7 linked regions of the Xenopus tropicalis genome follow. The protein of the gene in region 1 interacts with the protein of each later gene in a biochemical or structural test. Links are inferred from orthologs where the notes say so. Each region holds a gene or a part of one and is shown in the gene's direction. Other genes may lie near its edges. The genes, in order: ppp1ca, mapt, sfi1, ppp1r10, akt1, rrp1b and mphosph10.

Region 1 (2,509 bases):
TAACGGGGCCCCCCCTCCCCAGTTCCTGACTGGCCTGTTCCTCCCCCCCTACAGTTAAAGGCTGCCGCCCTGGGAAGAATGTTCAGCTGACGGAGAATGAGATCCGGGGGCTGTGCCTGAAGTCCCGCGAGATCTTCCTCAGCCAGCCAATCCTGTTGGAGCTGGAGGCCCCGCTGAAGATCTGCGGTGAGTAGGGCCCTGGGTGCCGAGGCTCCGCCTCTGTGTGTAGCTGCGGATCTGATTGGCTTCCCTCTCCTCCCCCCAGGGGATGTGCACGGTCAGTACTACGACCTGCTGCGCCTGTTTGAGTATGGGGGCTTCCCCCCCGAGAGTAACTACCTGTTCCTGGGGGATTACGTGGATCGGGGGAAGCAGTCGCTGGAGACCATCTGCCTGCTGCTCGCCTACAAGATCAAGTACCCCGAGAACTTCTTCCTGCTGCGCGGGAACCACGAGTGCGCCAGCATCAACCGCATCTACGGCTTCTACGATGAGTGTACGCGGGGGCGGGGCCAGGCTGTAACCCACGGTAACCAGTGCGCTCCCTAATGCCCTCTGTCTCCCCCTGCAGGTAAGCGGCGCTACAACATTAAGCTGTGGAAAACCTTCACCGACTGCTTCAACTGCCTGCCCGTGGCCGCCATCGTGGATGAGAAGATCTTCTGCTGCCACGGGGGTGAGTTCCCTGCTGCCCCCATCCCTCAGGGCTCGTCTGGGCAGCCCAAATGGGGTGAATACACACCCCACACCTTCTTAGCCAGTGTGCCCCCCCCCCGGGAGCCCCAAACCTTATACTGTACAGCCAGTGTGCCCCCCCCCGGGAGCCCCACACCTTCTTATACTGTACAGCCAGTGTGCCCCCCCCCCCGGGAGCCCCACACCTTCTTGTACTGTACAGCCAGTGTGCCCCCCCCGGGAGCCCCACACCTTCTTATACTGCACAGCCGGTGTGCCCCCCCCCGGGAGCCCCACACCTTCTTGTACTGTACAGCCAGTGTGCTCCCCCCGGGAACCCCACACCTTCTTATACTGTACAGCCAGTGTGCCCCCCCCGGGAGCCCCACACCTTCTTGTACTGTACAGCCAGTGTGCCCCCCCCCCCGGGAGCCCCACACCTTCTTGTACTGTACAGCCAGTGTGCCCCCCCCGGGAGCCCCAAACCTTATACTGTACAGCCAGTGTGCCCCCACCGGGAGCCCCAAACCTTATACTGTACAGCCAGTGTGCCCCCCCCCGGGAGCCCCAAACCTTATACTGTACAGCCAGTGTGCCCCCCCGGGAACCCCACACCTTATACTGTACAGCCAGTGTTCCCCCCCCCGGGAGCCCCACACCTTATACTGTACAGCCGGTGTGCCCCCCCGGGAGCCCCACATCATCTTATACTGTACAGCCAGTGTGCCCCCCCGGGAACCCCACACCTTCTTATACTGTACAGCCAGTGTGCCCCCCCATGGAGCCCCACACCTTCTTGTACTGTACAGCCAGTGTGCCCCCCCGGGAACCCCACACCTTCTTATACTGTACAGCTAGTGTGCCCCCCCATGGAGCCCCACACCTTCTTATACTGTACAGCCAGTGTGCCCCCCGGGAACCCCACACCTTCTTATACTGTACAGCCAGTGTGCCCCCCCCATGGAGCCCACACCTTCTTGTATTGTACAGCCAGTGTGCCCCCCCGGGAACCCCACACCTTCTTATACTGTACAGCTAGTGTGCCCCCCCATGGAGCCCCACACCTTCTTGTATTGTACAGCCAGTGTGCCCCCCCGGGAACCCCACACCTTCTTATACTGTACAGCTAGTGTGCCCCCCCGGTATACAGTTGTGCCTACTCTGGATCCATCAGAACCTGCCCCCCCCCCCCCCACTCACATCCCCATTTGTGTTTCAGGCCTCTCCCCCGACCTACAGTCCATGGAGCAAGTCAGACGGATCCTGCGTCCCACCGATGTACCGGACCAGGGGCTCCTGTGTGACCTGTTGTGGTCGGACCCGGACAAAGATGTGCTTGGGTGGGGGGAGAACGACCGCGGGGTCTCCTTCACCTTTGGGGCTGATGTAGTAGCAAAATTTCTTCACAAACATGACCTTGACCTCATCTGCCGAGCTCACCAGGTACGTCTGCTCCGCCCATTCCTTACTCCTCTCCCACCCCAGGTATGTCTGCTCCGCCCATTCCCACCCCACGGTACGTCTGCTCCGCCCATTCCTTACTCCTCTCCCACCCCAGGTATGTCTGCTCCGCCCATTCCTTACTCCTCTCCCACCCCAGGTATGTCTGCTCCGCCCATTCCTTACTCCTCTCCCACCCCAGGTACGTCTGCTCCGCCCATTCCTTACTCCTCTCCCACCCCAGGTACGTCTGCTCCGCCCATTCCTTACTCCTCTCCCACCCCAGGTATGTCTGCTCCGCCCATTCCTTACTCCTCTCCCACCCCAGGTATGTCTGCTCCGCCCATTCCCACCCCACGGTACGTCTGCTCCGCCCATTCCTTACTCCTCTCCC
Region 2 (3,500 bases), on another chromosome or scaffold:
TTTTAATTTCTCCTGACAACGTCCGTGACTACTTTGTGTTTGGAAACTGACCAGCAGGTGGTGCTGCTGTAACAAAATGCATTCATATTAACAGTACTTTAAACCCTTAATATCTTGGATTTTTAAAAAAAAAAAAAAAAAAGTAAATATAAATTGCAAAAGTGTTCAGAAAAGCACTATCACCGATGTTACATCAATTTTTTTTAAAAAGTTTAACAGCATATTGTATGCTCAAAATAATGTCCTTCTTAACTGATGTCTGATTGTGACTTGTTCATGTATCTTCTGGGCCTGACAAGGGATCACCTTGGCTTAGAAGCCAGCTGCGCTCTGTATAAGGTCCATGGCCACTGGGTCTAGAGAACACTCCCATTATTTCTTGTCCTGTTGGGGTTCCGTTCCACCTGGCTGTCCTTGTGTACTCAGTAATCAGAATCCACCCAATCACATTATTCATCCACATTATATCTAAAAGTGTGATGCCTATATAGCATGCCTGTATACTGCAACATTTCCTAACAGCCCGGCCAGCGTACGCAACATGGCGGTCACCTACTTCCTTTTCTCTCTCACACAGGGGGAGGCAACGTGGAAGTAAAATCCGAGAAACTGGAATTTGACAAGATTCAGTCAAAGATTGGATCCCTGGACAATATAACCCATACACCAGGAGGGGGCGCAAAAAAGGTACAATGGCTTAGAGACGGGCACGGAACAGGAAGCCAAGACAGAATGGAGCAATCCCTGGGTCACTGCCATGGCGTCCTGGCATAGTGGGCAGATTATGACTTTAGCAAAGGATATTTTCTTGCATAGGACATAATTGCAGGATTGAAATATCAGATTATCCTAGAGAAGTACCCACTTGGGCATCCATGCTGTGTTGGCTTCCTGCCCCCTGCAACTAACCCTTGCCCAACCTTTCTCTGCTGCTTTTGCTAACAATTTCTAAGCACTTTGTGCAGTGTTAAAAAAAGCCGACAGAAGTGGCTCTGCGGGCGTAAGTGCAGCTATGGGCATGGGCGCCACGCTCTGGGCTCATTCCCTCCATAGGTGTTTCCTTAAGGCTATGCTCTGGCCTCTCACACGTGCCTCTCTTTCTCTCTCACCAAAAACATTTTCCTTCCAATTCACTCCCCACTGCTTCACTGTAATCTGCCTTTATCTGTGTCCACCATCCCCCTCCCCATTCATCTTAATGGAACCCAGTGCAAAATGGCTCCTACCTAGGGATGCATCAAATCCATCATATTTACATTCAGCCAGATTTGAAATCCTACAAGAGATTTGTCCAAATACGGAATTAAGTCCCAACTCTAATTTGCAAAATCAGATTAAAGTCACCAAAAATTGGATTGTAAAAAATGTTTAGCTTTCAGTTGTCTGGCACTTTAAAATCACGAGACTTTAGGGCTTGAATTGACCACTATGGATTCTGCCAGCTTTGTGTGCTGCTCAATTGTGGATTTGGTATATCCCTCCTCCTTCCATTGCAATGTCAAAGGTTCCTTCTTTTCCTAGAATTCCCCCTTATGACTAAATGCCACCAACTAGAGCAAACAGGCAGTCAGAGGGGGGTATATAGAGAATTGTAACTGTTGTGCGGCCAGTGAGACTCCCTCCAAGAGACCAAGTTCTTATGTTAATTTGCAAGTGCTCTGTTGACCTCTTTTGTCATCATCATCACCATCATTATATTATAAAATGCTTCCCACCCCCCTGATTAAGCAGGAAATAACTGGCCTATTTAATTGGGAGACAGTACGACATCACTGCTCTTGCACGTTTGTGCCTTAGCAACAGCACCTTGTAATAATAGCAGTGAGGGCAAAATTGTTATGGATAATGGAGCAATAGTGCCCTCTGCTGGACAGAGACTAACAGACATGTTATACAGTAATAGCTTGCCCTTTACACAGTTCTCTAGCAGGTATAGGATTGAGAATATTAGCAAAGGCCATTATGGCAGAGTGTGTACTGTTCTATGGCTTATTGGAGCAATATTCGTATGGTGCTCGCATAGGGTGGGTCTGCTGGTGGCATCAGGGTCCCCTTAACTCCTTCCCATCTGTGCTTTCATTTTTCCTGCCATTTTTCCCCAACCCGCATGCTTTTAATTGATTCCCCCCACCCTTCCCTACCCACTCCATCTTGTCACCTCCAGAGAGAGAAAGAGAATGAAGAGCAGACAGGGGATACCCCTTCCCCTCCTAATGGGCTGTTACAAGGCCCTCTTGCCCCCTTGACTGAAGAAACAGAGGTGCCAGACTTGGTAGAACAGGAGAATGGTAAGTACCCAGTTGCCCAGGCTCCTCTCATTTCTTCCTGGGGTACTCTGACTCGTGTCAAGCCTAGGACTGAAGCAGCTTTATATTGCCATATTGGCCATATTATACTTGCACCAGTATGGTATCTATTTTACAGGAACCCATTTTCCAGTAATAAATCAAAAAACAAAGAAAAAAAAGCTTCAGCAAGTTTACTGCAAAACATTTATTGTGGGTAGTGGTAACACGACATGTTTCGGGTCAATACCCTTTATCAAGCGTACTGGTACTGGGTATTGACCCGAAACATGTCGTGTTACCACTACCCACAATAAATATTTGGCAGGAAACCTTCTGAAGCTTTTTTCTCTTAGTTTTTTTTTGGATTTCTACAATTGTATTTGGTTTCAGCACAGAGCAACAACTAGGAGCTAAAGCTTTTCTTCACAAGTATTTTATACAAAGTTTACCGAAAAAGTGGCTGCTAATAAGCCATTACCTTAAGTCATGTTGATAGCTGGACAGTTCTTGTAGTCCAACACCACAGATTGCCTATGTTATATAACCCAATAGTCCCTGTCAGCATCCCAGCCCTCGAAATCTAATTTTAAAGGGAAACTAATACATTTTAATATAAAGTATCAGTTCAATGCAGAATGTTACTAGCATGTTGGTGTATCAGTGAGCCTTAATGGAATGGACTATCAGTACTAGAACTCATGGTGGACCCAGGCCTTAGTAGGCCCCAGCCTAAGAAAATTCCCATCAGCCCATCTTTATTTCCAACATGGGTCATTTGGCACTATTTATACCTGTTCCCTAACAGGTATAAATAATGCCAAATGACCCATGTTGGAAATAAAGATGGGCTGATGGGAATTCTCTTAGGCTGAGGCCTACTAGGGCCTGGGTCCACCATAAGTTCTTCTAGTACTGATAGTCCATTCCATTCAGGGTCACTGATACACCAACACGCTAGTTACATTCTACTCTGGCATTTCGGGTAGATTAGTCGCCCGCGACAAGGGAGATTTGTTGCGGGCCACTAGTCTTCCCGTGTGCTAGAGCCCTTAGGGTGAAGACACAGAGCTACTAGTAGCAGCTATTGGTCACAGCTACTAAAATAGACAATGATTATTTACTTATAACTGTGTCTACATGTGTTTTAGTAGAGGCAATTCTCAGTATTGTCTATGACAGGGAATTTTCTGGGGTTTGGTAGCAGTGACAAGT
Region 3 (4,243 bases), on another chromosome or scaffold:
AATTTTTATATTTTAATATACCAGGCATTTTTCAGTTTGGGGTTATAGAACAGAGTTCTGGGAGATGCAGGTCAACATCAGAATGGACAGACAGCCATGCTTATACAGATAACTAAGCAATATGCAACCAATGGAGATAACGTACTAAATTCCCCCTAAGAGCCACTAGCAGAGAGTTAATATAAAGACTAGCAGCTGGAAAGCCATATGCTACAGGCATTCACATAGCTCCTTAGGTAGACTTTACATGGTGTGAAGTTAACTGTAGTTCAAAAACCATAGACTAGACATTGTTTGAGCAAGACACTGACAAAAAAAAAAAAAAAAAGCACTTGACACACAGATACGATAAATGCCACATTCACAGACCCAACAAGGGAATTAGAAAGTAGCTACTGAACTGTAGTTCAAAATAAGGGGCCACGAAGCACGAAGCTTAAAGAGCCCTAATAACTTTTACCCTGGACACAAGGGCACCGGGTAAATAACCCGTTCCAATACAATAACATGCACCTGCCACATACGAGGAAGCCCATGCACAATTGGGGAAGGGTATACACCCCAACATGAACGGAACATGAAAGCCACGAGTTCCCTACGCCCGCTACAAACAAAACAACCCCAGAAACTCACCCACACGCCTAAATCCTTGCCTTACAAACCCTCCATACACCCTAGTTCACCTGAGCACGCCCCCGCTTTCTCCCGGTTCCCCTCCCTCTAAAACCCCCCGCCGCGCACACGCCGATCGACGTACAATACGTAGCGCACGTAAAAGTCGCACAGCACGTACCGGCTCCAGCACTCCTCCTAACATACCTGTTATGGTTCTGTGGGCCGCTACTTGGGCCTCCGAGGGCCCGGAATCTGACGACTCACCAGTAACTTCTCCTGTTACACACCCGACCAACCCAAGAACCGAGAAACGACTACGTCAAGTGGACCCCGGACGTTTAACGTCAGCCCGTGACGTAACAAGGCGGTCCTACGGAAACTTAACCCCCTGAAGCCTGTGGCTGAACAGATCACGTGATAGGTTACTCTTCGCTAATTCGATACGCTTATGAAGTAGTAGGCAGTTACTATACTATTGATATAATCTAGTCATTGGCTATAGCGCAGTTATTTGCACTTAACAAACACTTGCTGCATCCTTGCTAGTGGCTGGGGAGAAACACAATTAACACAAAATAGGCCCTTAATTACCAGGTGTGAAACGGAGCCAGGCAAGGATAATTAACAATTATCTATAGTATACATGGACACAGCGGTACGGTGCCCCCAAATGACTACCTTGCCTAAAGCCGCCTCCCTTGACCTGCCCCTGTAATACATGCAGCGTTATCTCTAAGCCCATGCTCACAAATCTCATTAATAAATATATGCCGGCTATTCCATCCGCCTGTTTTTTAGCATCAGAACAAACCAGGTGTTACAGTACGCATGCGCTTTCAACTTCTAGTTGCTGTAACAACAAGCGGCAAGAAGGGCGCGCGTTTATCGGTAGGCGGAGCTACCGGAACTAAACTGGATGCAAGTGAGACGGGATGGATTTTCCAGTCACAGTCCGGTACTTCAAACTCTTAAATCTTGGCGATGGAGTTAGTATTCTTAGGGTTCGGACTGTCGTGTTTGTGCTCTTTGGCAAATACGTACACACTGCAGTACATTTAGTCTGATAAATCACGGGAAAATCACTTTCTTGTGGCCAAGCTAGACTGCATTGTATTAGGTGCACTCTCCCTTTTATGCTGTTGAGCATTGCAAAAAAAATACAAATTGCATCTCAGCACTGATGATAATCAAGGACGGGAAATGATTGCAAATATCTGTATTAGTATGTGGGACCATTATTCCACTCATTGATGGGTGTTGTAGGTCTGGCTGGTCTGCAGTATTTTATGACACGTTTGCCTGTTGTCACTTTAACAAAAACAATTTATTTATTTATTTTAATGTTTCCAGGCACAATACAGCAAAGTCATTCAATTCAAAACGACAGCGTAAAGTTGATCCTCCTGTCACATCTGGAAACCAGCGCCCCCAAAATAGCCGTCTTATACCATATCGTGTGACATACACATGGAACCGTGGAGGGAGGCTAAAAGAATTGCGCATAAGGTTTGTTTCCAATACATAATCCAATAACTAATGGCCATAGTATACAGTAGGGGGCATATTTATTATAGTGTGTACGCTAACATCACTGGGGATGTTGCCCATAGCAACCAATCAGAAATTCGATTTGAACGTTCACCTACAAGTTAGAAAACAAAAGCAAAGATCTGATTGGTTGCTATGGGCAACATCACCAGTGATGTTTGCTTATACCTGGTATAAACTTAATGCTACTTACAGGGTTATTACTGGTCACATTGATTTCTCCCAATGTCAGCTACTTTTCTTAGTCATTGGTGCAACAGTGCATTCACATAAGCCTCTAAAGAGAAGGTAAGGTGTACAAAATGTTATTATAAGTGATAAACTTCTTCATACTTGCTATTTGTGAAATGTAACTAGTGGAATAGAGGCGGTGTATTGTAGGCTACTGTTATTGAGGCTGAAATGAGCAGTCTCTATAAAAATATCCATGAATTCATTTTTATGATTTTTTTTTAGGCATCTGGCCAGAAAATTCCTTTACTTGTGGGTGAAAAAAACATTTGGAAGAGTCCTTCCATCTACTGCCAGGTAAAAACAAAAACAAGGGGGGGGTGGATGTGCAAAACATATACATATACTTTCTGTACATTTGTTGTATTATATATAACATTGTAGAGGGCACACATTAAACAAAATAAATACCTGGGTGCCAAGTTGTAGTTACGCATGCAAGTATAAGGGAAAACCAGCCCACACAGGATGAAAAGCCCAAACTGAATACTCCATGTAATTGGTACCAAAATATGTCACTGTGATGTTATCATATGTTAAAGGACATGTAAACCCCACACACAAAAAATTAATCAGTGAACAGCCTCTTTGAAATATTTCAATACCTGCCACACTGGTTGTCCAGAGGTTGAAGGACAATGAAAGGTTAATATAAATTCAAAGTAAGTCTAAAGGCATTCTTTTTAAGTACTTACTGCATATCTAAATTCCCAGATCCCTGCTTTCTTCTCTGAGATATGGTGCTGGCAGCCTACAGCAGTGTGAAGACTACAGTGACATCACTGAAATCTCTCTGCCCTTCCTGTAGCCTGCCAGCGGCAGCCTTCCTATTCTCTGAGCATGTGTGTAACTTGATCCTGTCTGCTGTTCTGAGCTACACATGCCCACCAGCCAATCAGAAGCGGATCTGCCAGAGGGGAGGAGGAGGGGGGGGGAGGGAGGGAATGAAACACATGTGCAGTATGAAGCAAGGAGGGAAAGGAAGGGAGAATACCTTTTTAGAGATGGCTGCCTGTTCTAGAAAATGTGAAGTAAGTGTGACTGAGTAAATATTTGATTAGGTGAGCCAAAAGTGTGGCATTTTTACTAAACAATAGGAGGACTATTGGGCAGTATGCTTTTTAAATTTTGACTTGCATTCTCCTTTAATAGTAAGGCTGCAGCATCCCCTTAACGACTTAGATTTCTTATTCCTCCTCTAACCCACTCGGCCCCCTCCCTCAGGAATTTGCTTTGGCTGTTGGGGTGTGAGCATGCTCAGTTGTTCTAAGCTCAGATTACTAAACACAACCCCCAGTCTAGTAGCCAGTAAAGAGATGGCATTGCTGGTTCCCATAGAAACTCAGCTGAGCTGTCTGCTTCAATTTTTTTCTCCTGACTCAGATTTACCATTACAGTGCTCAAACAAAGCATTACTTTTATCAAAGGCAGTTCTGCCTGTGTAAGCCTGTATTCTTGATGAAATGTATGCTGAATAAGGGTCTGTGTGTATGCTGTTTGCACATTTAAATGTATCCAATTATGTATCAGAGGAAAAATGGCTACCAGGTGAAAGCTACAATTTGCTTTAGGAAAATGTGATGGTGCTGGCAAGCGGAGGGGATATATGCAGTACAAATGATGCCATTTGGGTGGGGGAGACATGCCCAACTGATATACATTGTAGGCAGAACAGATCTGTGAACCTGGGCGGATTCACTGCTTCCAGATGCAGGCACAACTAGAAATTATCCACAGGCTGACAATCCACCCCATGTGCCCTTGCCCTTAAACTTTATTTTCTATGCAGCTTATCGGTTATCTGTTATCTGCTATGTAAATATGTGCCTTTTTGCTCTTTTGTGTTTGA
Region 4 (3,998 bases), on another chromosome or scaffold:
GTGACATTATGTCCAATTTGCTTTTTTTCCCTCCCTTTTTTGTTCTGTTCCAATACACACAAAGGGAATAAACATGTGTATAGCAAAACATGTGTTACTGCAATACTTTTCTGTGATAAATACTTGATTCTCTGGAAATATTTCTGGGGTGCCAACAATTTTGGCCATGACTGTACATGCTGCATGGATGCACATTAATTTAGCTCAGTCAGTAGATAGCATCTAAATGACTTATTAATGAGCCATGCAGAATGTGGATTCAATATGTGATCTCTATTAAAGAGGAGAGGAGACAAATCTAAACAGAAATGATAAAGAACATATGCACTCTGTTAAAAAGATTTCTCACTGTTCCTGCTTTATTCTGTGGAAATGTTCGTCTGAGCATGCATAAGACTTTATGGGCAGTATTCCTTTCTATTAGGTCTCTTATCACACAGCACTTAATCCCTGTATATTTACTGTAACTACTTTTCTACACTGTAAAATTGTACAGTGGTGTGTATACTAGCAGGACTGTTACTAAAGTTATACATACATGCAAAATGTATCTAAGGCAATTCACGTTGCCATCTAACTAAAACAAAACTGACACCTATGACCCTAAAAGGGATACGGTAAACACTAATCTACCTTACGTATATTCGGATATTAGAGAAAATAATAGCCACAGCCCTACACATATGCGTGCAGTGTTATGTGCAAGTTCAGCTGGAACATCTGTTCCGCCTGCTAACAAGGGCACCCACAAACCGTGTTGCTTCTGCATGCAGGCACCACCATTTTACAGCATATCTACAGCGACAGTAACGATTGATGGGTTACTAAATCTTAAAATAATTACCTTAAGACAGCCAACATATTTAGTCTATACATCTGTCACTTCTCTTTAGTTATAACGTCTCCCTAAATGTTATTACCTTACACCATAGCGCCTTCTTGATTGTAGATATCCCTAGACCACCCAACCAAGTAGCCATTTTACTAGAAGGTGATGTAGAACGGGCACCTTGTCGTTTACGTCATGAAAATATCAACCAATCACTTAGCCCCATTTTTTTCTTTCAGCATGCTGCTTCAATACCAGCTTTATTAATACGAACAAGCAGCCACTTACATTTCAACACCTTGAAGTTATTGAAAGGGTTCGTGCCTGAAAGAATCGCTTCCTGCCCGGGGTTGTAACTTCATTAAACCAAGTAGACTGCTCATAACAATAAGGCTTTAGATACCATATATTGAATATGTCTGGCACTAAAGCTCTATTATTTTTGTAGCTACATGGGTGGTTAACCTAATCAACCTATAGCTCAGCTGCTTCGGTTTGATCTCCGTAATTTAAGCACGAACTAGAGCAGGGCAGCGCTAGTTAAACGTATTTAGATCAGACGATGTTCACGCTATAATTAAGGAGTATTTTTTTGTCTTTCAATAAGGGCGTTGGCCTCGATTACGTAAGCGCTGCGGGATTTTTTTGCTGCGTCATTGAAAAAGGACACGTTGTTTCACGGTTTTTTATTTATGAACATTGAGATTTAGCACTGCTCGTTCACGGTTTGTTTCGCCATTAAATACGTTTTATGAAAGAAAATCACCTTTCGGAAAACAAACCAACCTAGAATCTCTAATTCTTTTGCAATTACATACTCGACGGCCATTGGTTGATGGAAGTGATGTCATTAGTTGCCACCATTTTTTAGCGTTTGCCTCGTCTCGTCGAACCAATCGTGTATCGCTTTTTTGATTGCTCCGCCTCCACACTCCGTGACGCTTCCGAGGCTACTTAAACTTGCGGTTTGGTCAACGGCGCCATTCCAGCCTTTGTCGTCAGGTAGGTGTTTTGTTGAGTGGTGTCCACAGAGAATGTCCTTATTGTTGTGACCTTGAGGGGGGCTGCTTTTGTGTAATTGTTGTGTTTCGGGTATCGATTGTGCACGTGTTTTATGATTTTATTTTTCTCTTTAGGTTTTACCTACCTGTGTTCAACTTGGCTTCATCGTCGCACCAAACTGTTGGACAATAGTTTAAGTTAATATCAAAAGATCAAGGACCTTCAATTTTGGAAACAGTAGAAGACCAAAATACAAGGGAGCCTCGTCACACACCTTCTACACCACGTTTTCCTCTTAATTCTTTTTTAAAATTTTTTATAAACTTATATGCTTATCTGCCCTTTAAATAAGGAGACTCTGGGCTCTTATTAATAGTTAGCAGTCTAAAATACAGGCGTTCAAAATATATCCTCTTTCACTTATTTTTTTTTCTATTTGGAGCTTGAAAAGGGCATATTTGATAATTGTAAGGTAATGGCAGCTGGCCAGCCCTATAAACCTTAAATTTTGAATACAATGCCGACCACAGCCTTTGTGTGGTCTTAATCCCAAGGCAACTTTTTTAAGAGGATATATTCCTTAATACGCCCCCACCCCCACTTTTTCTTTTTTTTTTTCTTTTTTTTTTTTTTAGCCCAGTTCCAACGTACGAAGAGGTGAAGGAGAATTTTGGATAGTAAGTGTTGCTTTTGAACGACCTTGGAAAACAACTTTACCCCCACCAACCCTTTACCCTCAAACCCTTGGTGGGTTCAGCTAATTTAATGCCGTCCCAGCAAGAGCAGATTTCTAGCAAATCCATCTTGGACATATTCTAGATAAAACTGTATTTTGTTTGAATCAAATTGAAAGAAGGTTATACCTGCAGACAACTATCAGCCCTTCAACTTTTTATATAGCTTTTTCAAACATTGGCATCGCTTTCTAAGTTCTAAAGGATAAATGACCAATAAGTATCCGTAGTAAGTTTTGTCCAGGCACATATTTTAATAACAGCTACATTCTACAGGCAGTCTGGGCAGTGAGGTTGATCGTTTTTGACAGGATGTGCGACAAAAATGAGCTCCCATACCAAAGATGGCGTCAGGGCTTTGTTCAAAAAAAGCAAACGCATTATCTCGGTGTGGGAGACGGCATCCTTTGTTTACTTAAGGGATATAAGACCAGTTTTTCCCCGTGTGGTTTATGTTCAGTTCAAGGTGCGTAGTGAACAGAATCATGAGCAATCTGTACATAAAGATTGCAGGGAAAGACTCGTGAGTTCTTCAGGGAGGTATAGTTCCACAAAGAGATGCAGTAATATGTGCTGAGCTGGCAAGGTAGGGAGGTATAAAAGGGGAAATCCGCATGGATTGAAATATCTAATTTTGGACTTCCTGTCCCTATACACTCAATTTGTTATCATTCTACATTCCAATTACTGTAATAATTGCAATTTTAAATGTCCTCGAGGAATCACTGTTTGCACAGCAGTCGTGTCATTTTTCTTTCACCCCCTGGCAGACTGAGAATATACCTAAGAGGATTGTGTGCAATCTATCAATAAAGATTGCTTGCCTTCATTCCACTACTGTCCTGTGCGATAGTAAATTTTGATTATAATAGGCTAAAATGCAAAACTTATTTTGGTATAATTAGTTGTCTGTACATGGAATTTTGTAACTATTTTGTGAACATCATATTTCTCTTAATACATCAGCTTGATTTTTAGCAACCTTTCTCATCTCATGAATTCCATTTTTGCCGGATGCTGTATATTTTTATATTTACATAGCTATAAAGTAGCACCCCGTATTTCCTATTTAGGTAGGGAGGTTTGGTATGGCAAATGTATTGTTTCATCTTCAAACTGTGGTTCTTTTGCAACAAGCAGTTAAACAGCAATTTTTTTTCCTGTTCAGTACATATTTTTTTTTAAACCCTTCAAAATGGCTGCCTCAGTTGTTGTTTTAACATCTAGCATGTTGTAGCTCTAAAATGGACTCTCCTCCTTTCTCTTTGTTTTCCCGCTGAGGCAGGCATGCTAGACTGTATATGGCTGGCCCTTTGCTCATCTCATGAACGCCCTCTGGTGTCTACATGTACTAATAGTCATCTTGAAAATCAGAGGAAAGATTTTTTTTTTTTTTTTTGCAATTTGTTATCCAACATTCCAGTTAGATATAG
Region 5 (4,021 bases), on another chromosome or scaffold:
GCGCGCACCCCCCGTGCGCCTGCACACTACCGCTGGGGGGGGGGGGGGGGGCGTGGGACCGGGGACAGCCTGGGGGCGGTGAGTTTTGAAATCCAGCCATGAAACCAGCACCATATATTATTTGGAATTGCCTACAAAATTAGGTTTTTTTCCCATTTATCCAGTATGTCTCCTTTAAAAAATGATAATGCATCATCCATTGTTATTTGCAAGAGTCTTTTATAAAAGCACCTGGCATGCAGTTTTATGTTTTTATATGGAAACAAACTCCTGTGTGGCTTCTAATATTGTTTTGAATAACAATAGGGCAGGCCCAGGTTGGAAATCTTTGGATTCTGGCAAATGTCGCCATAGACAGTCACAAATGATTGCGCTTGTGGTGGGGGCTGCTTGGGCCTCTATGCACCTAAAATACCAGGGCCTATTTTGACTCCCAGTCCAGAGTTGCAAAAGGGGATACATTATTTACTATATTACTACAAAAACCATACTGGGGCAACCCTGTTATAGTGGGCCCAGGAACACAGCATAAATAGTATTGAATTGAATTTATAATAGGGCAAGAATGTGGCTTTGAGGTACAACTCCCAGCACTCTCAGGGAGAGTCCTATGTCATACAGATAACAGGGCCTCGCAGTTTTCCTAAATATTTATTAACTTCCCTCACATATTGCAAAAGCCAAATACCAATAGTTAAATACAAAGCTTAGGGTGGTTATATGTACATTAACAAAGAATTTTAGCTGATTTTCCTGCACTGCATTACTGCGTGTGTATTTGCCTGCTTATAGAATAGAAGTTGCTCTGTGTCAATATACATACACGTAGCGACTTTAGTCAATGCCCTTCCATAGAATAGTGAAGAGTGAGGCCCCGTTGAAAGCGCGTTGTAGCTAAAGCCCACACTGCTGGCGGAGAGAGCAGCACACGGGTTAAGTCTCACCTGGCTGCTGGCTACTCACGCAGCGCTCAGGCTCCTCCCTTTGTGCTCTGATGGATTTCCTAGCTGAGCTGCAGCTTTGAAGCCTGCGGGCGGTAGGACCCGGTGGTCATCTGGAGGCAGGGTGTAAGAGGCACAGAGGGAAACCCATAGACAGCGGCTGGAGAAAGGAAGAGAAGGCAGGAGGGAGGATCGCTTTGGGCAGGGGAGGAAGAGCCATTGCTCACTGTGTGCAGGGGAGGAAGAGACAGAGACGGGCACACACACAGCTGATGCACAGGAGAATGATCCGAGGCTGAAGACTGCAGAGCCGAGGCAGTTATCCTGCAAGCGGCAGCAGTACCCACATCCCAGGGTGGCAGCAAGGTGACAGCAGCAGCAGCAGCAGCAGCAGCACTACTCTCCTGCCAACCATCAGCAGCAGCCGGTTCCTCCCATCCCTCCATGCAATCAATGGGCTGAATCTGCAGCAGCAGCAACACTACAAGCAAAAGCAGCCTTATCCTTCCCCACCTCCTCCTCCCACCCTCTCCCCCTCTGTGTCTGCTCTCCTCTCCTCCCTTCTTTCCTCTCCCTTCCCTCTCCTGCTCCCCTCGGTGATGGTGAGGCTTCAGCTGGCTGTAATCCACCGCTAGGCCCCAAGCCCCCCTCCCAACTCGGTGGCTGCCCTCCTCTTCCAGACTCAGCTCAGTAATACCTCTTGCATCCATGTAAGTCAAACCGCCCGGCACTTCCATTTCCTAACCTTTGTCTTCCACCCTCTGCCAGCACCCACGCCCTTTTTTTTTTTTCTTCTTCCATTTATTGGTATAATCCTTTAACCCTTTAGGTGTCAGAAAGCCTCCCCCTATCGATCATTGCGCAATGCACCAGGGGGGCCTTATGTCACTGACAGGGTTAAAGCAGGACAGTACCTAATACCCTGAGAGGCATGGGGGTGTTGGTCAGTGTTACAGCCCTGTCAGGGCCTGGCGTTGTTTAGTGCTCTGCAGGAGGGGTAGCGGTAAGAGAGCAGCATGCAAACTGCAGCTGATGCAAATGCGCCAAAAATCAATCACATCCCAGTAGTCTTGCTACACAAACTGCCTGCAGGGCAATGCTGTCGCCTTCAGTGCAACCCAGGATGTGTATAATGTTCCTGTTGTGTAGATGTGTGTATGTTTGTTCATAAACAGTGTTAATTTCCAGGGAAGGGCTGTGGCTGGAACTATGGCTGCTCTGCAGGGGGGCTGGCAGCATTGCTTTTTAAAAAGATGGCAGGAAAACATGTATGTATATATATTTATATAAAGATGGTAGAAATGTGCTGCATTTGCTTCTTATCCAGTCTATATACTCAGTTGTCCAACATGTGGCCCTCTGGCTGTCATAAGATGGCAACTCTCTGACATCCACCGCAGCGGAAGGCTGTCATAGGCTGCTGGGAGTTGTAATTCACTGACAGCAAGCAATGCTACAGGTCGGACACCCTGGTGAAATCTAGTAATATCCCCCTTGGGCTGTAACAAAAGCTATCCTATTGCACTAGCATTTCTTTTGCTTACATCTCTGAACAAGATAGTGTTTTACTTCTAGACTGTTGTGTTATGTATGTAGTCTGTTACTTGCTGAAACTGATGTGCTCTTTGTGTGTCCCCCCACCAAACGTGCCCACTTCCTGTGTACATGCTCTAATGTGTATGGGTGTGCTGGCTGAGTTTGACACTTCCTCGCTCTGGCCTGAGCAATCAAGTACTGTGGATTACTGTTGCTATCCAGACTTCGAGGAATATAGCAGTATTGTGAAATTTGTTTACCTGAAAAATATATATATATGTGTTCAGTTAAAAGTAGGTTGCAGTAAGCATGTGGTTGGCATTTGGCAAGTTCCCCACAGTAACTTAGCACAACAATTAACCCAGTCGTTATTGTGATGTTTTTCTTAGGCAATGTATTTTCCAGTAATGTTTCTCGGGGTTTATGCGCACATTAATTTCCAGCTGAATAAGTAATAAGATGTTCGCTCATGGTTTAGCTAGATTAGTATTGCAGGTACAGAAATCCTGTAAAATCAAGAAACAACTAGATTATTTGCATCAAAAAACAGTTTGGTTGTGTCACAAGTCCAATGCTGTGTGTCACCTTTATGTAGTGCGCTAAATTAAAAAAAACAAAAACAAAAAATTTCATGACATGTCCTTTCTATGTGCAGTCATCTGGATTTTATTCAGTGTCTGCTATTGCAACAATGTAAAAAAAAAAAAAAGAGTATAGGTTAATAAACTGGGCCCCGATTAACTTTTGCTACTATTTTTTATAAAAAAAATTAAATAAAAAAAAATTGTAGTTCATTGTTCTTCTAGTGATCAGTGAATGAAAAACCAAACTGCTGATTTGATGCTGGTTTGGGAGACCAAACTCTCTTGAATGCAGGAAGCAACTAAAAACATGATCATGCTGCTGGGCTAAATAGGAGCCGGTGCAACTGACCTGCATTATTTATAAGCATCCTGCATTTAAAGGTAATACCTTCTCTCCTTACTCTTAACTAAGCAGAATATACAGTAGGTAACTTGTATGCTAAAGCCAATGTTTGACTGTAAACTTATCTGTGCATTTGTATAGTGTAACCTTTCATTCTACCTATAATATGTATTTGGCTTTGATTTTATATTGTATTCCACTTTGGTTCAGGTATATTTCTCTGAGCATGCACATATACAGAAGTTAGATCACAAATATATTTAAAGAACATATAAAAATAGTTTTTTGAAGTTTATTAGAAATGTTTATGCTATATTGTTGTAGGATAGTGTTGGGCATAAGGATAAATTAATTCAGAAAAAAACTTTGTATGACATGTCTCCCAAGTATATATCCTTGAGGTTTGACGCCTATTCGTAAATAATCTTAGGTTCAACTGCACTGCATTATTGTAGGGAAAGCAACAGTAGGCAGTGCTTGGAAAATGCAGAAAACAAACAAAATAAATCTGAAAATATAACTAAATCAGCATTTCAACTCCTGTACAGAGTCTGTGGCAAAACCTCAGTGTAGGAAGCAGAATATTGGTTTGTTATGACTTTTGTGTCAAGTACTTG
Region 6 (3,343 bases), on another chromosome or scaffold:
GAGAGTGTTGCACTGCTGGTTCCTACCAAGTACATTCTGTATCTCGGCGCTATAGGAGCCCAATAGGAGCCCAATACTCACTTTCTCTTGTTCCTTTCAGGTTCCGGGACTTGGCTGAAGGTGGGTCGGACTCTGCTCTTGTCTCTGTGACATTCACCCTAATGCTCCGTTTGGCTGCTTGGGGCCCCCCGGCACCACCCGCTCCGGGGTCCTAATATCATTTCCATGTTTGCAGGGATCTTCCCCAGCGAGGACTTCCCGGAGGAGGTTTCCACGGACGAGGATGATGATGATTACAGCAGCTGGCTGTTCCGCAAGAGGATGAAGAGGGCGCAAGAGAATGGGTCCTATGGTGAGTGGGGGGGTCTGAGGGGGGCGGAGTCGCCTTGGGAGGTGGGAGGGGTTCTGGAGAGGTTTGGGGGGGTTTATTCCCAATTGCCTCTCTCTCTCTCCAGGAATAGTATCCCGACTTTCCGACGGTAACGCAGTCAAGGAAAAAAAACGGGAGAAGCGGAAGCGAGTGGGCGTGGCCCCGGACGAGTCCAAATTAAAAAATGGCCCCCCTGCAGCAAAAAAGAAACGTAAGAGGAGGAAGACGGATGAAAACAACAACACCCCGAGCCAGGAACAAGCCCCCCAACCTTCCCAAAATGGCGTGGCCCAAAGCTGCTGTACAGAAAATCACAGTGAACAGAAGGGGTCGCCCCAACCTGCCCCGACCCCCTCACCAGACTGTACCCCAACCCTCTCAAAGAAACCCCCCGGGAAGAGGAGAAGGGCTGGGCTGATCCGAACCAGCCTCCGTATTCTGCCCCTGACTGGGTCCTTACTGAGGAGGAGGCAACTCCGGCTGCTCAGGAGCAAGTGCAAGGTGAGACATTGGGGGGGCAGTAAGCAATAGCCCCCGGCCCTAAGGGAGGGTCCCACAGAGGAGGGGGCAGTATTACTGGGGCACCAGTGCTGCCAATCGGGGAATCTCTTGCCATACCCACTTCCTGTGACTGTATGGCCCATATACACGGGGCTGCCCACTGCAATATCATGTGATCTGTTACAGATTTCCCAGCAGCCAATGGGATCCTCTACTCCAGAACCAGAGGAAAGGCCGCTCGCTCCCCGGAAGGAAGTGACGTCGACTCCCCAAAACTTCATGTCTTTCCAGAAGGCAAATTCCCCCAAACCTGTATATGTGAAGCCGGCAAAGGCCAGGGGCAGGCAGGTAAACTGGGGGGGTGAGGGGGTGCCCTGTAATGGGGTACCCATGGGTGTTGGGCTGGGGGGCAATGCCTGACTGGGGAAGCTCTTGGGTGCAGTACAGTACCTGCCCATGTACAGATTCTACGTACTTCCTGCTTCTGGGCTGCTCTCTTCCCCATGAACATACAGCAGGGGCGGGGCTTAATCCTGACTGAACCATTGGTTCCTGTGAAATAATAACTCCTCCCCCAGGCCGATGCATTGAGAGGCCACTCAGCCCTTGTGCAGCCCAATCAGGGGCTCATACCCCTTTTCTACTTAGTGTGCTGGGGGGCAATATGCCTGGGGCTGACTAGCCGAATCCAAGCAGGGCCGATGTGGCCCCAGTGCCAGCTGGGTCAGCGCTCTCGTGGGGTTTGTACAGTTTGACCCTATTTGTTGCTTTCCCTTCCCAGGTTCCCACCAAGATGGGCGGCAAATCCAAGAAAGTCACTTTCAGCCTGAACAAGAACATGACCGCCGGTAAGCACCTCCCCCCATTTATATACACCCCACCCCCCCATTTATATACAGCCCACCCCCCCATTTATATACACCCCACCCCCCCATTTATATACACCCCACCCCCCCATTTATAATCACCCCCATTTATATACACCCCCCTTCCCATTTATATACACCCCACCCCCCCATTTATATACACCCCACCCCCCCATTTATATACACCCCACCCCCCCATTTATATACACCCCACCCCACCATTTATATATACACCCCATTCCCCCATTTATATACACCCCACCCCATGTCAGATTGTCTTCCTTTCCCAGCATGCCTTACTTTTCATACTCTTGGCTCCTCCTACTCTTGGCCCCTCCTACTCCGAGTACCTGCCCTGCTGGCATCATTATGGGGGCCCCTATAATCTGCCATTTCCCCCCATAGAGTTCAAGAGGACAGACCGCAGCCTCCTTGTCAGCCCGACCGGTTCCTCCCGAGTCCCATTTAACCCGGAGCAGAGACCAGATCACGGCGTCCTGAAAACTCCCACGTCAAGTCCCGCCCCCCGGGCCCGCGCCGCAGACTTTTTCTGAGTGTTGCCCCGCCCCTAGCGCACAGTGAATGTGGTGCCTTGTGGTTCTGTTCAGTGGATCCAACCCAACTCACCAGCAGCAGGAGCAGAATATGCTGTGTCCCCGCCAGCCGGGGACCCAAGGAAGCTGCTGGGCTGTACCATTATTCCCAGGGCCGTACCATTGTTCCCAGGGCCGTACCATTGTTCCCAGGGCCGTACCATTGTTCCCAGGGCCGTACCATTGTTCCCAGGGCCGTACCATTGTTCCCAGGGCCGTACCATTGTTCCCAGGGCCGTACCATTGTTCCCAGGGCCGTACCATTGTTCCCAGGGCCGTACCATTGTTCCCAGGGCCGTACCATTATTCCCAAGGCCGTACCATTATTCCCAGGGCCGTACCATTATTCCCAGGGCCGTACCATTATTCCCAAGGCCCTCACTGAATGTGACTTTATTCAAAAGCCGAGGGAGGAGGGGTCTTTTAATGGGCAGGAAGGAGAGATTTATATTTTTATTTAATGGTTGAGAAGGGGTTAAACTGGTATTAATGAGATCGGTCTGTGTTGTATAAAAAAAAAAAAAAAAAAAAAAATTCTTGTCTTGATCTATTTTTTTAGAAATTCAGGAATTCTATTTCCACCCTTTCCAAATGGGGAGGGGCCTTAGTGCCGATGCCCCTCCTACTCTACCCCGGCAGCCATTGGCATAATCACATGGTGTTGCCTGACCCCCAATCCATTAAGCCCAGAATGTCAAAAGTTTGCTCATAGTCTATACTGACCATAACTGCTCCAGCTTGGGTATTCCCCTGTACTAAGCACAATTCAGCAGGAACAGCCCCCTAAGTTTGCCCATAGCCTGTACAGAGAGATACCATAAAACTATGGCACACAGGGATTCCCCTGTACTAAGCACAATTCAGCAGGAACAGCCCCTAAGTTTGCCCATAGCCTGTACAGAGAGATACCATAAAACTATGGCACATAGGGATTCCCCTGTACTAAGCACAATTCAGCAGGAACAGCCCCTAAGTTTGCCCATAGCCTGTACAGAGAGATACCATAAAACTAT
Region 7 (3,961 bases), on another chromosome or scaffold:
TTTGCAGGAGGTGCATTTTTAAATAGGGCAATAATTGATGGAGACACTGATGTTTTTCTTGGTGACTGAATGTTTTTTAAATTGACATTAGGTTTTTTTTTTGATATGGATAGACTTCTGCGGGATTTTTTCTTTTCAGGAGAATTCATTTCTGATGTACTGGGATATATACTTTGACTAAGCCTCTGAATGCATTGTTCATCTCCTGCAAACACAAGAAAGATTAAGTAGATAGAGGACTGCCAAAAGAATTATTTTTTGTCACAATTAAATTAAAAAAAAACAAACAAACAAACTTTCTATTATGTTTACACATTGAAAACCAGTATATTTTTTACTGGCCGGGTCATATGGTAGCAACCTTTGCCATACAATATGAATGATTATATTATGATCCCTTTCCAATAACGTGGTTATTATACAGTGTTAGCAGACTACAAGTGTTAATTCTGACTTTAGTATCAATAAACAGCCTTTGTGCAGTTTTTAAAACCTGGACCATTCCCAAGAAACAACCATTTCTATAGACATGTAAACCCCAGGACTATATCAAGAAATAAGATTGTAAGCTCTTTTGGGCAGGGCCCTCTTCACCTCTTGTATCGGTTACTGATTGCTTTATATGTTACTCTGCATGTCCAATGTATGTAACCCACTTATTGTACAGCGCTGCGGAATATGTTGGCGCTTTATAAATAAATGTTAATGTAATGTAATAAGAAGGTCTGGTGTAATTAACTCTCATAGATGGTAGTGACTGGCAGTAAAATGTAAAAGCGAAGTACCAAAAATACACACCAAGCAGCTGGTACTAAAACATAATTAATGACTCAATTTTGAAACAAGCAGCGTATACGTGAGTCTCAAATACCCCGCTTTTCTTACCTGTCACAATCCAAGGCATCCGCCATGTTAGCGAATCAGGATAGCTTTATTGGCACAGACAATACTGCCAAAAGTACTTGCATGAAAGACCTTTTTCGCAATTACATGTTACCATACGCCATAGTGTAAAGCAAGCACATATGCTAGACATATCCTACTCGGATATCAGTCAGTTTGTGTGTCTTACTGTACTTACGGAACCATAGCACTGTAGCAAACGTTTCCGGCCGGAGTGGTTTCGTAGGCGCACTTCCTCTTCTCTATGGAACATGTGAGTGAGCTGCGCTGATCGTGGCAAAGGATGATGGCAGATTCTGAAGAACCGAGGCATGGGCTGGAACAGTGCATGGAGGTTCTGGAATTAGTGAGTGCCCACCCGGAGCAGTTGCTGAGGTACAGAGAAAGAACCCTTATTGGCTGCTATATCCTCTTAGCCTATGATTATGCTGTTTATTTCCATCGTTTACTGCTATAACATTTGTGTGTGTGCTGGACTAAATCCTGGAGACTCACTGAGCTGCCTGTGCCAATCACTGAGAAAAACCATAATTACATAAAATAATTAAAAATAAACTGGCAAGGATACTGAAGATTTGTTTAATCTCTGTTCTTTAAAATGCAAAAAAAAAAAAACAATAGTACGTAAAATCTTCCATATCCACACCAGAACCACACATAATTAGACCTTTATTATACACCTTTATTTCATATCCTTAAAACGCTTTAACCATTTTTTTTGAAGAGTAGAAAAGTGCTGTTTTATGCATTATATATATATACACACTATAGTTATGGTGTCTGTGGTTGGAGCTTATGCATCTGAACCATTTATAACCACTGAGCGACTTTGCTTATTCTCTCAATAACAATCTTATAGTTTGAACAGCTTGACATGTCTCAACACATTGAAGGACTTAGGGCATTGGGTACCCAAGGCACACTTTTATAATAAATGAATTCAATTTGTTTTTTTACTTAATGTTTAATAGGACTATGCTGAGCACGAAATAGAGAAGTTATATGTGAAAGAGGTAGGGGGGTAACACTAAAATGTGTTTTAAAATAATTAAAATTTAATGTGCTGTTGTCCTGCACTAGTAAAATGCCTACTATATACTATTATATAAACAAAGCTGCTGTGTAGACATGGGGGGAAGCTATTTAAATTAAAATAAGGCTAAGAGCGCTGCCAAACTTGGAGATTAGTCGCCCCCACAATTAATCTCCTTTAGTGTGGGAATGTTTTCCCACCGGCAATAATGTCAATCACTGGTGGGAAAAAAAAAATGTGTTGCTTCGGCTTTCCAAAGTTGCCCATTTTCCTCTCGAAGCAAACTTGTGGGAGACTTCCGAAAGCCGAACGACTCATATGTTTTCCCAATGGCAATTTACATTATTGCCAGTTCAAAAGCATTTAGAAGAGATTTGTCACTGCCGTGGGCCAACTAATCTCCTCTTGTGTGAGGGTGCGTAATGGCACAGGTTTCATAGGAGATCAAAGATAAGCTCTGTAAAACACCATTGCATTCTACAGAACTATTTGTTACTTGGTATGCATTTTCTCCCTTTTCCCATCTTTGGTTGCACACTTAACACCAAGGCACGTATAGCTGTTGTGTCAGTATGTATGTATGTATGTATATCATTATTTATAAAGCGCTACTTATGTACGCAGAGCTGTACAGTAGAATACATTAATACAGTTTGTTTGTATGATACTGTCCAGTGCTACACTCTTGTTCTCTGCTCTATTGTGAGTGTGATATTTTTATCTATTCTAAACTCTGCTCTCTAGTAATGTGGGCAACTGTTAGATTTTATAAATATAGGTATGGGACCTATTATCCAGAATGGTAGGGACCTTGGGTTTTCTGGGGGTTGTTTCATCATTAACAAAACCAATAATATTTTTTTCTCCAATAAGGATTAATTATATCTTAGTTGGGATCAAGTACAAACTACTGTTTTATTATTACAGAAAAAAAGGAAATTCATTTTAAAAATTAGAATTATTTGCTTATAATGGAGTGTGATAACAGGTTTCCAGATAATGGATCCCATACTTCTACATTGTAATAAAGTACATATGATTTTTTTTTTTTTACTTATTTGCAGGAGTATTTTAAAATACATTTGTTTTTTTTTTTCAGTGTGCAGGATGAATTGGCAACAGAGTTCTCTTGTTTAACAAAAGCTCTTTATGATTTGCAAAAGTCACAGCTTGCACTAGAGGTGGGAAGCCCATTGGAAAAGCTGATTATAGAGAATTTTGATGAAGAGCAAATATGGCAGCAACTAGAACTGCAGAACAATGCTGTTCTTGGCTACTTCAAGAAAGCAGTTAGTAAGACACAAAAAGACAAGGATATTTATCTCATACAGTCAACTGAGGAAGAGCCATCAGAATTGGAATACGAAGATGAGGAAGGTGTGTCAGCAGAAGAGTCAGAGTTAATTAGTGAAAATGAAGATGAACAAAGAACTCAGAAGAAAAAAACTGCTGATACTAAAAGACCAAAGAGAACACCAGTGGAGGCATTCAGTGATGATGATGATTCAGATATGGACTTTGATATTGATAAACTGGAGAAGCAGAGTCAGCAGATACCAAATAAAAAACCAATGGCTAAACCTAGTGAAAAGTCAGTACTTGATGACAAGTTCTTTAAGTTGTCTGAAATGGAGGCCTATTTAGAAAAAGTCGAGAAAGAAGACAGTGAGGAGGATGACGATGATGATGTTGATTATTTTGAGGATATTGACTCTGAAGATGATGAGGAGGAGGAGGAAGAGGATGATATGGATGAAGATTTTAACATTACAAAAAGCAAAGAACAGGTAAATTGTGCACTAATAAAGCCCACTAATCAGAAAAGAGCAAATGCAGCCCTGCAAAGCATTTGGACATCCGTATAAACATATGAATGTCACCTCAAGGTGTGTGGGTTGAACATAAGCTCTTCAGGATGTTATGGTCTGCATTGAATAGGCAGGCATATATGGTTGGTAAAAAAAGAAAAACAGCTAAAGTAACAGGTTTGGCAAATGGGTAATTTTTAATGGTATGCATAATGTC

What was found.
Region 2: of the proteins of ppp1ca (region 1) and mapt, one has a biochemical effect on the other in vitro, tested with the Homo sapiens proteins (2 studies listed by BioGRID). The link is inferred for Xenopus tropicalis from reciprocal best matches to the Homo sapiens genes PPP1CA and MAPT.
Region 3: the proteins of ppp1ca (region 1) and sfi1 form a complex in vitro, tested with the Homo sapiens proteins (2 studies listed by BioGRID and IntAct). The link is inferred for Xenopus tropicalis from reciprocal best matches to the Homo sapiens genes PPP1CA and SFI1.
Region 4: the proteins of ppp1ca (region 1) and ppp1r10 form a complex in vitro, tested with the Homo sapiens proteins (2 studies listed by BioGRID). The link is inferred for Xenopus tropicalis from reciprocal best matches to the Homo sapiens genes PPP1CA and PPP1R10.
Region 5: of the proteins of ppp1ca (region 1) and akt1, one has a biochemical effect on the other in vitro, tested with the Homo sapiens proteins (3 studies listed by BioGRID and IntAct, with this or other methods). The link is inferred for Xenopus tropicalis from reciprocal best matches to the Homo sapiens genes PPP1CA and AKT1.
Region 6: the proteins of ppp1ca (region 1) and rrp1b form a complex in vitro, tested with the Homo sapiens proteins (4 studies listed by BioGRID and IntAct, with this or other methods). The link is inferred for Xenopus tropicalis from reciprocal best matches to the Homo sapiens genes PPP1CA and RRP1B.
Region 7: the proteins of ppp1ca (region 1) and mphosph10 form a complex in vitro, tested with the Homo sapiens proteins (2 studies listed by BioGRID and IntAct). The link is inferred for Xenopus tropicalis from reciprocal best matches to the Homo sapiens genes PPP1CA and MPHOSPH10.

What each region holds. Positions count from the first base shown.
Region 1 is NC_030685.2:492,457-494,965, forward strand, and holds part of ppp1ca (protein phosphatase 1, catalytic subunit, alpha isozyme), read left to right. Parts: intron 1-54; coding exon 55-186; intron 187-265; coding exon 266-496; intron 497-571; coding exon 572-676; intron 677-1,894; coding exon 1,895-2,118; intron 2,119-2,509. UniProt on the Homo sapiens protein: Protein phosphatase that associates with over 200 regulatory proteins to form highly specific holoenzymes which dephosphorylate hundreds of biological targets.
Region 2 is NC_030686.2:17,262,018-17,265,517, forward strand, and holds part of mapt (microtubule-associated protein tau), read left to right. Parts: intron 1-577; coding exon 578-687; intron 688-2,164; coding exon of another isoform or gene 2,165-2,288; intron 2,289-3,500. UniProt on the Homo sapiens protein: Promotes microtubule assembly and stability, and might be involved in the establishment and maintenance of neuronal polarity.
Region 3 is NC_030677.2:152,105,396-152,109,638, forward strand, and holds the start of sfi1 (protein SFI1 homolog), read left to right. Parts: upstream 1-1,443; 5' UTR 1,444-1,547; coding exon 1,548-1,570; exon of another isoform or gene 1,571-1,596; coding exon of another isoform or gene 1,597-1,601; intron 1,602-1,965; coding exon 1,966-2,121; intron 2,122-2,619; coding exon 2,620-2,691; intron 2,692-4,243. UniProt on the Homo sapiens protein: Plays a role in the dynamic structure of centrosome-associated contractile fibers via its interaction with CETN2.
Region 4 is NC_030684.2:75,449,240-75,453,237, reverse strand, and holds the start of ppp1r10 (serine/threonine-protein phosphatase 1 regulatory subunit 10), read left to right. Parts: upstream 1-1,198; 5' UTR 1,199-1,831; intron 1,832-1,965; 5' UTR 1,966-2,508; intron 2,509-3,998. Other genes in the region: mrps18b (28S ribosomal protein S18b, mitochondrial), read right to left, coding at 921-980.
Region 5 is NC_030684.2:99,749,721-99,753,741, reverse strand, and holds the start of akt1 (RAC-alpha serine/threonine-protein kinase), read left to right. Parts: upstream 1-1,221; 5' UTR 1,222-1,307; intron 1,308-1,561; exon of another isoform or gene 1,562-1,651; intron 1,652-1,791; exon of another isoform or gene 1,792-1,944; intron 1,945-1,982; exon of another isoform or gene 1,983-2,209; intron 2,210-4,021. UniProt on the Homo sapiens protein: AKT1 is one of 3 closely related serine/threonine-protein kinases (AKT1, AKT2 and AKT3) called the AKT kinase, and which regulate many processes including metabolism, proliferation, cell survival, growth and angiogenesis.
Region 6 is NC_030678.2:1,570,394-1,573,736, forward strand, and holds the end of rrp1b (ribosomal RNA processing protein 1 homolog A), read left to right. Parts: exon of another isoform or gene 1-91; intron 92-100; coding exon 101-120; intron 121-235; coding exon 236-352; intron 353-455; coding exon 456-871; intron 872-1,057; coding exon 1,058-1,219; intron 1,220-1,652; coding exon 1,653-1,719; intron 1,720-2,142; coding exon 2,143-2,291; 3' UTR 2,292-2,843; downstream 2,844-3,343. UniProt on the Homo sapiens protein: Positively regulates DNA damage-induced apoptosis by acting as a transcriptional coactivator of proapoptotic target genes of the transcriptional activator E2F1.
Region 7 is NC_030679.2:97,027,954-97,031,914, forward strand, and holds the start of mphosph10 (U3 small nucleolar ribonucleoprotein protein MPP10), read left to right. Parts: upstream 1-1,161; 5' UTR 1,162-1,186; coding exon 1,187-1,278; intron 1,279-3,035; coding exon 3,036-3,723; intron 3,724-3,961. Other genes in the region: fan1 (fanconi-associated nuclease 1), read right to left, coding at 1-205, 886-904. UniProt on the Homo sapiens protein: Component of the 60-80S U3 small nucleolar ribonucleoprotein (U3 snoRNP). Required for the early cleavages during pre-18S ribosomal RNA processing. Part of the small subunit (SSU) processome, first precursor of the small eukaryotic ribosomal subunit.